Xenopus tropicalis: one gene and its partner. The main gene of each other region encodes a partner of the protein of the gene in region 2 in a complex. Links are inferred from orthologs where the notes say so. Each region holds a gene or a part of one and is shown on either strand. Other genes may lie near its edges.

Evidence for each region.
Region 1: the proteins of fgfr2 (region 2) and fgf8 are in contact, whole or in part, in a crystal structure (PDB 2FDB), measured with the Homo sapiens proteins. The link is inferred for Xenopus tropicalis from reciprocal best matches to the Homo sapiens genes FGFR2 and FGF8. Residues at the interface, in NP_000132.3 of Homo sapiens: Glu160, Lys161, Glu163, Lys164, Leu166, His167, Ala168, Val169, Pro170, Asn173, Asp247, Val249, Arg251, Ser252, Ser282, Asp283, Ala284, Gln285, Pro286, His287, Ile288, Gln289, Ile291, His293, Leu309, Val311, Leu312, Lys313, Ala314, Ala315; in NP_149354.1 of Homo sapiens: His53, Val54, Gln57, Asp62, Leu64, Ser65, Arg66, Leu68, Ile69, Arg70, Tyr72, Tyr75, Arg77, Gly80, His82, Val106, Glu107, Thr108, Thr110, Phe111, Gly112, Ser113, Val115, Thr148, Glu149, Ile150, Val151, Leu152, Glu153, Asn154.

Annotation. Positions count from the first base shown.
Region 1 is NC_030683.2:31,018,431-31,022,982, forward strand, and holds the start of fgf8 (fibroblast growth factor 8 precursor), read right to left. Parts: upstream 2,826-4,552; 5' UTR 2,522-2,825; coding exon 2,490-2,521; intron 2,403-2,489; coding exon 2,366-2,402; intron 695-2,365; coding exon 514-694; intron 1-513. UniProt on the Homo sapiens protein: Plays an important role in the regulation of embryonic development, cell proliferation, cell differentiation and cell migration. Required for normal brain, eye, ear and limb development during embryogenesis.
Region 2 is NC_030683.2:19,258,119-19,262,637, reverse strand, and holds the start of fgfr2 (fibroblast growth factor receptor 2 precursor), read right to left. Parts: upstream 3,026-4,519; 5' UTR 2,640-3,025; intron 1-2,639. UniProt on the Homo sapiens protein: Tyrosine-protein kinase that acts as a cell-surface receptor for fibroblast growth factors and plays an essential role in the regulation of cell proliferation, differentiation, migration and apoptosis, and in the regulation of embryonic development.

The DNA of each region.
Region 1 (4,552 bases), about 12 Mb from region 2:
AGGTCGGACTTGAGTAACCGTCTATTTAATCATTAATCTGCATTTTTTCTGAGGACCACATATATATAATAGCATATATGAACTAAGAACTGCGTCAGTTGCTGCACGGACACAAATATAAAATAATAAGCTCCATCCATGAACAAATACTACTTAGTGTATGTAGCCACCAAATACTTCTTATGACTTTTACACCCAATGACCATTTGTATCTAACTCTATATAGGTTATGCTGAGACAAGGGCAAAGTGGAACAAAAATCTATAGCACCCAATGAGAAGTTAGCTTTTGTTGGTTGAGTGCTAAAGCACATGTTTGATTGGTTACTATGGGTTTTTGAAATAGTGCAAATAACTTCCACCTTCTGTGTAATCCCCTATTATATGATGTTTCATTCCAAACTGCAGGTAGGTCCCACCTGTTGCACACATTCTGCTCCCTGGACCACCCTGCAGTACACACAGATATAAAACTTCTCATCATACATAAAAATATATGAAATTGTATTCTTACCATGTGGGTCGCCGTCTTCTGCCATGGCGTTAATCTTCTTGTTCCCCAAGATTTGCACATGCTTGCCACTGGTCCGACTGTACAACTGGTAGGTTCGGATGAGCCGTCGGCTTAGTTGGTCGGTCACCAGGCTCTGCTCCCTCACATGCTGTGTAAAATTAGGTGGGGACTGAACAGTTACCTTTAGGAAATATATAAAACAAGCTATTATATTTATACTTCTTAATACAGCTGAATGACGGCCAACACAGTTTATTGTGTGGGCAAAATGCATTGTCCAAAAGGAAACCAGGACAAAATATGTATCCTGGCCTATTCATTATGGCCTGTATACTCTGCATTAGCAGTCATTCAGTTTGATAAATAGAAGGAAATATTTCTAGACTGGAAGCTCTTCTGAGCAAGGCCCTCTCCAGCTATTGTATTGATTGGGATTGTTATTGCTACTCAGCAGTGCGGAATGGGCTGGAGGTTTATAAATATCTGAAACGACTGACAAGCATTTCAGTTTAGAAACTCACATTAACCTGCTCAGATGTGGGGGATAAGACTACAACTGATAGACTACAACTCCCAGTATCTCCTAGGACTTGCAGTTTAACAACTATATATATTGAGAAATAACCTTACTCTCCTACCTCCCTGGCCCAACATCTAGTGATAAAGCATTTATTGGTTCTATTTATGATCACAATATAGAAAAACAATGCCATAAGCTGCATTAGCATAAAATAATTTTACACTTGAGTTGAAACATGCACAAGAGTAAGGTTCACTAGTGAGCCATAGTGTAACACTCGCCATGCCAGTGCAGAATAAGGCTTTCCTTGCAGGGAGGCTAAGCAATATTTAAACCTTACAGAAGGGTGCTTGGCTGTGACATTTATAAAGATATATTCTGAGAAAATGGGAAGAAGATGCGACTTTCACCCTTGGGGGCAATGAGCCAGCTCAAGCTGCAATCCCCATAACAAATCAGAGATTTAACATCTCAGGAACAGCCCATACCTCACAAAGTCTGCAGTATTTTATGCACAGGCCTGACAATTTCAGCTTCCCTCTCCCCTCGGTGCCTCACTCTCCCTCCTTATACCCTCTCTTTCGGTGGGTGAGCCTATTCTTCCAGCTCTTGCATGGACAATATGTTTAGATGCCGATGCCAGCTCCAATGTGGGCAACATATGGAGAAGGTCTGCTTGCCATACGCTTCTTGCTCCTCTCCCTATGAGATCCAAACAGTTCTTTTTCTTTTTTAAAATAGCTCTTCATAGTTTGATGCTCCCTTTCATTTTAAATTATCACATGAATGGGAACTGTATAGATATACAGCAGAGCAGAGCAACAGTTGATAACTAAAAAAAAAAAACTCTGCATTTAATCTCCATGTTTCCTTACTGGCCCTGATATCTATAAGTTAGGGCCACTATTGATCTGTCCCAGCAAATCACAGAACAATATTGCCCTGATAATGAGTTTTTTGTTTAATTATTACAACTTAGGCCCCTAACATTCCTAAGGCTGGTTCCTACAGCACAGATCCAAAGACAAGTCCCTATAAATCTTATCCAGTAAGATCAGTTCTAATTACTAGTAAGGGAAGTGTGGGTACTGCAGAAATGATACCCAGTGACCCCTAATCTAGTGGGAGAACCAGGCACCCCAAATATTGGTTTAGCAGCTCATTCTGCACATTAGACTGGCAGTGAATTTGGATTTGATATTATAATTCGGCTCTTTGGAAGAAAATATAATAGTAAAAAAAGTCTAAAGTGAACCTGACTCTGAGCCAATTGAAAAAAAAAAAACATTAACATGCAAGTAGCAGAGGATAGAAAATAAAAATTCAATTTACCTGGGCTTGTAGGCAGATGACAAACAAGTGCAGTAACCTGTAAAAATAGAAGAGAAGGTCCAGTTAGCAAGCAGGGTGCGGGCAGAGTGGGAGCAATGTGGGTGCTGGGTGCCCCAATACTTACAGATAGCCCAGGATGGAGGTGATGTAGCTCATCCTGCCCTGCTGGGTGCCTCTGCCTGTCGGGCTGCCCGATAGTCCCAGGGAGTCGGATTGCAGTGGAGCGGCTGCTCGGCCGATGAGCTGCCCGGCTGGTAGCAGGGGAAGGTGCAGCGCTGCCGTTTCCTAGTCCCGGGAGCTCCCGCAGTTCCCTCCGCCCATCCCCTTGGCCAGGCAGCCGAGTCTGGAAGAGAGGGCACCGAGCCACAGCCAGGGAGACGGGGGGGGTGAGTAGAAACACGCTGCACTCCTTGTCCGAAACAGACGCAGCGACTTCCCAAATAATGATGCTGATAATAACAATAATAGTAATGATAGTGATGGGGAGAGCCTGAGAGCAGCCCCCTGGCGTATCGGTACAATCCCTCCGGCGCTACAGCTGGTGCGGAGCTCACACGGCTCCCCTGCCACTTGCCTCCAAGTGAGAAAAGAAACAGCCGAGATGCGCTGACAATTGTCCCAGTGCTGTGCCGGCCCCCCGGTCCCAAGGCGCAGATGTAGGCGCAGCGCTGTCAGCTTGAGCGCTCAGGAGAGAGAGAGAGCGCAAAGTCAGAGCGCAAAGTCAGAGTAAGAATGCGAGCTACTTCCCAACCTGGGAGGATCACTTTCTCTCGCTCTCTCGCTTCCAAAATGACGTTGTGTTGGGCTGAAGGCAGCGCTTGGTGTGTGAGAGCTGATGATGAAAGTGTTGATGAGTAAGGCTTTCTCCTTCTATGCACAAGCTGCGATCCCACCGGCCAATAGAACAACCTGGCTGAGTGGCTGCGGCTCAGAGACCTCCTGATAGCCCTGAGAGAGTGTGAGTCTGTGTGTTGGCCGCTGTCTCATTGAGCACTAAGTGAAGTGATTGCCAGCGATCAGCCCTTGTCCCTCCTCTTGTCCTGAACTCTCCAATGTCAAACTCCCTTCTCATCTGTCCTGGGTTAAATGTGGGAGGATGGAGCTGGAAACCACCCCCCTTGTATATCTAGGCTCACAGGATGCACTCCATTGTACAGATGGGTTAGAGAGGGCATTTAAATCCCCAATTACCCATTTCCACTTGAAAGGTAAAATCTCTAATTCAGCAGTTCGGGAACAAGTGACTGCAACAAGGTTAAAGCACAGTGTGTGTATATGTACATAGCTTAATACATGCAGATGGTGGATTTGTTTTATAGAGGGACTAGTACACCTACAATCGTTTAATCGGCCTGACCAATTGTCTATATATCCATCTAGCTTAACCCATATCCATCTAATCTATCTGTTATCTATCTGCCTATATATATATATATATATCAATCTCTATACATTCAAAAAGAATGCAAGCGAATATAAGTATTTCTATCAATGATCTATTTATCTATCATCTATTATCTATCTTTTATCTATCTATCTATCTATCTATCTTTCTATCTATCTATCTATCTATCTATCATCTATCTATCTATCATCTATCTATCTATCTATCTATCTATCATCTATCTATCTATCATCTATCTATCATCTATCTATCTATCTATCTATCTATCTATCATCTATCTATCTATCTATCTATCTATCTATCATCTATCTATCTATCTATCTATCTATCTATCATCTATCTATCATCTTTCTATCTAACTATATCCATTTCTCTAGATTCACAAAAAATGCAGGCATATAAAAGTATATTTATCTTTATCTATAATCTATCTATCTAGCTAGCTATCGATCTATCTATCCATCTCTCTGTAGATTCACAAAGAATGCAGGCGTATTTAAGAAAATAATAAATATATACGCAAAACATAACACTTTAGTGCACTTTAGAGTATGAAAAGCAACAGGTCCATTAATGTTCTATAATGAATGTGTTATAAGACCAAAAAGTAGCACCATGTAGAGAACTTTGTCACTGCGGCAATTGGCTTATCCGTGGGCTTTGGGCAGTTCACACGTTTTATCTGCAAACAGCTAATCTCTCCCATCGGGTAGTGAGAATTTTTTAATCATGGCACAGTGGAATTAAGGAAAATTCGGAGGGTTCTGAAAGTGTGAAGTCCA
Region 2 (4,519 bases):
CGCTCTTATTTGTGCATTTAAATCCCATATAGAATTTCTCATTTCTTTCCAAGAAGTTTTTGGCTTCCTCCCCCAGCACTCCACCATAGATTTCTATTATCTAAAGGTTTGGCCAAGATCAGAAAATAGCCCTAATCTGCATTTTAATTGAGATTCCACAGAAGGGGAGACCGTGCCTCAATCCCTACTTATCAAGGGGCTTTAGTGCAACCCCCATTAAACCCGCACAATGAGCGGGGGCACCATGTACACTCTCATATAAAGCCAAGGAATTCAGCCTCCCTCTTGGCCACGGATTCCCCCATTGTATGCACCCCAGATTCCAGCACACAATGTACATTTAATGAGGGCTCCACAATGCACTTTTTCACACTTAACACATCCAGTACGGAGATTTGTAAAAGGGTTGTTATCTTTTTAGACCAAGCTCCGACACCAAGGTACAATGGAGCTTCACAACAAAATGCAAACACCAACGCACAGTCCCAAGAGCAGTTGGCACACAGGGATTTTACATGCAGCCCCTGGAACCTTTACATTATAGATGGATTTTTTCCCCCTTTACAAACAGCCTTCAAGTCAGTTCCTTGATTAACACCAGATACCACGCTGACTGGGTTAGGAATTCACGGCCGGTGGGACAAAGGAATGTTTTGCAAGGATTTTTTTTATAATGATAAAGAAAACCTGAATTTTCCAAAATGTGAAGCTTTTGTTGGGCTGCGTTCAGGGGCCTGTAATGCGTCTGTGGCTTTGCCCGCTGTGTGGGTGCTAAACACCTAACAGGCCTCTCTCACGGGTAGAATCCTAGCCCCTTTCTTCCTTGCCCGATGCAGACTATAAACCTGTCATTAATGGATCGGCAGTTCGTTTAACCTGTAGGAAGCACCCCCCCCAACCCTGATGTTGCCGAGTTTTGCGTAGAAAATAAAGGAGGACAAATAAAGAGAATTAAAAGCCGAAGGGGCTGCTGTGGGGCAGGCAATATTAGGCTCAGCAGGAGGAGAACATGTAAAATATTCATGCAAATATCCAAAATATGAGGACCTGGGGGTGCATTATTGCCCCCAGGACATTTTACATAAAACAGTCTTTACAAGATAGCGTTAGTACATGAATGCAAACACAGACATAGCGAGGGTACATACACACTACTACTCAGACTGTCCGTGCCCCTTGTACTGGGCCCCTCGAGCATCTTAGCACCTAAACAGTCCTGTCAAACCCTAGGGCAAAGGCACGCAATGGATCCTGCATTGGTTCCATGACCCTTTACTTGTCCAGCCCTACGTATGTACACAGTGGAAATGTAAATGTGGCTTGTGGCTCTGCTCTATGCATATACATAGCAACCGGTCCATCAGACCCGGTGGGTTCCAGCATTCGTGCCCATTGTGATACATAACTGTACAAAGAAAGACCCTATTGTTTAGCGAGCATTTAGGAGCAATCAGGAGTCGCACTCCCCTACTGCACAAGGGGTACCCACGGGTATAACATTGTAACCTGTAAAAGCAAATCCACATTCTGCAATGTTGTTTGTCCAGCCTGCAGCCCTCCAGCTGATCTGGAACTCCCAGAATTCCCCAGTAAGCTATAAGCATCAGATAATAGTGAGAGTGGCATTTAGACTGTCTGGTCATGACCAAGGGCCTATGTTTATATGTTACATTCATAAACCTACTTGGGGCAAAGCATGCTTTGTTGCATACCATAATGCAGGCCGCAGTGGCCCTCCATATTATTCACATTTATTTATAAAGCGCCAACATATTCCGCAGCGCTGAACAATAAGTGGGTTCCATACATTGGACATACAGAGTAACATATAAAGCAATCAATAACCGATACAGGAGGTGAAGAGAGCCCTGCCCAAAAGAGCTTACAATCTACAAGGAGAAAGGGTTGAGACACAAGGTGTTGTTCAACTGCAACAGGCTTTGGGCAGTCAAAAGCCGCTCACTTGTAGGCTGCCCAATGGCTGACCATTATCACCCAAGTTTGACCATTAATTACCAGCTTTTCTTAGTTTGGGAAATATGATTGCTTTGATCCCATTTGTCTATAACAATTATAATAACACATAGACATAGCGCCTTCTACAACAACTTTCCAACATCAATCCTGGGAGCTACCACACAGCTTGCATGGCAGGGGTAAAATTAAATATTATCCACTCACTCCAATAATATAGCGCCTCATAGTGGCCAAACATGCCAGAAAGCTTTAATATTTAAACCCAATTTCTTGTAGGCACTTGAGTACCATTCACTTCAGCAATAAATACAAGCTGGGCAAAAGTCCATGTTTTTCAAAATTCATAACGATCTAAAGCTGTTTTAAATGTTCTAAAACACCAACCCACATTATCATGCATTGCTCCCATAAATAAAGACCATAAAGTAAAATATGCAACAAACATCACCCTGCAGCGGTTTTGTGCGGCAAAGCGAATTTAACGCATTGCGCTTCCAATTACGCACAGCGATTTCCTCATTACCTGATTAAAGCAAGGAGTTTTAGACAAGTTTAACCAATGACATGACACAGGTATATCCCCTGTGGGGGTCTGTACCCCAGTTCTATTAGGCTGAGAAGCCCCTCCTAGAGTTACAACGTTGCGGGTTTGTTGGCATTACCTGGAGAGATGGCGGTGTAAGAAAATCCCCTCAGCCCTGCATCAGGCGTGTGCCTGGCAAGACTCCGTGTGTCCCAGGGGACAGATTCCCAAGTCCCGTTTCAGCCAATGAGAAATACGTATCCCTCCGAGCGCAGGGTGAGCGAGTCCCGATCCCGACTCAGAGCCCGGTAACCAGCAGCAGCCAAAGCCAGTGAGGTTCCAAAGAGGGGAACAGGCAGAATCCCCTTTGCAGGGTGAATGAGTAAGTTCTCTGTGATTTCTTTTCTCTCTGAGTGAATCACCAATCCCCTGATAGTCCCACAGTGATGAATCCCGCAAGGTTCAGTGCATAGGAATCCCGGTAAGTGCTATCCAGGCAAGCCAAGCCCTTCCAGGCAGCAGTGCAGCCACAAACAATAAGGTAATAGGTAGGGAAAGTTCCCAAAAGTGGATGTGTGAGAGGTGCAACCCAGTGTAGATCCCGTGTGTGAGGGGCAATGGAAAGTCTGTGTGACTTTTCCCTCCCTCCCCCTCACTCCTCATCCTCACTCCCAGCCCCTTCCTCCTCCCTGAGTCACTCCCCTCTGTCTGGAACCTGAGCCTTCATCCCTCCCTTCATCCAATGCTGGAGCAGCTCCTCTCCCCTGGCCCAGTCTCCCTTCCCCAAGCCCTGCTGGCCCTCCCCCTGTGCCTGCCCCACACTTTGGCATACATCACTGCACAGACTGGGGAAGGTTTGTTTGTATTGGAATTACTATGCTATGTGCGCTCTCTTTCTCTCCCATTTTCCATCTCCTTCTCCTAATATTTATCTTCTCTTCATACCCCCCTCATCATTAAACAAACAAAAAAAAAATTAAGATCACCGGTGAGGTCACAGTATTTTAGTGATGTCATACTGTGTACTTGCATCGCCATTGGGCAATAGGGTTGGCAATGTTAACAAGAGAAAAATAATCTTCTACTGCCTAATTATAAATATATTATAAGTAATATTTTTATGGCGCTACTAATTATATTCAGCTATACAAAGTAGAAAATAAACCTCTGTGCCAAAGAGCTTACAATCCTGTAACTGTCACTGCTATAGGGAGGCTGGAAGGTTCTATAGGTTCTACTGAATAGGTGATTGGTAAAAAGTGCTTTGAAAGGGTACAGATTGCAGCACTCAGGCTCAGACTGGCAATCTGTGGATTCTGCAAATGCCAGCTATATAAAGTAAGCCTCTGTACCAAAGAACTTACAATCTAAAATCCTGTCACTGTCGAAGGGAGGCTGGAAAGTTCTGCTGTATAGATGATTAGTGTCTTGAAAAGGTACAAATAGGGACACTCGGGCCCCGACTGGCAATCTGTGGGTCCTGGCAAATGCCAGCTATATAAAGTAAGAGTAAGCCTCTGCACCAAAGAACTTACAATCTAAAATACAGTCATTGTCAAAGGAAGGCTGGAAAGTTCTACTGTACAGATAATTTGTGTCTTGAAAGGGTACAAATATGTGTGTATGTATGTATATCTTTATTTATAAAACGCTACTTATGTACGCAGCGCTGTACAGTAGAATAGATTAATACAAACAGGGTGTTAATAAGATAATAGATAAATACAAAGTATAATAATAAATACAGATAAATACAGCAGCAATAAGTTGAGAGTCGAGGATACAAGAGGAAGGAGGTCCCTGCCCCGTAGAGCTTACAATCTATATAAATAGTGACACTCAGGCCCGGACTGGCAATCTGTGGGTTCTGGCAAATGCCAGAGGGGCTGCTGTAAGATGCCATAGACACTCACTATTTATTGGGCTAGTGGGGGGCTGTTTGGGCTTCTCTGTACATGAAATACCAGGGCCTATTTTGACTCCCAGACACTGTCCCTTACATAGTGGGGGTCACAAGGA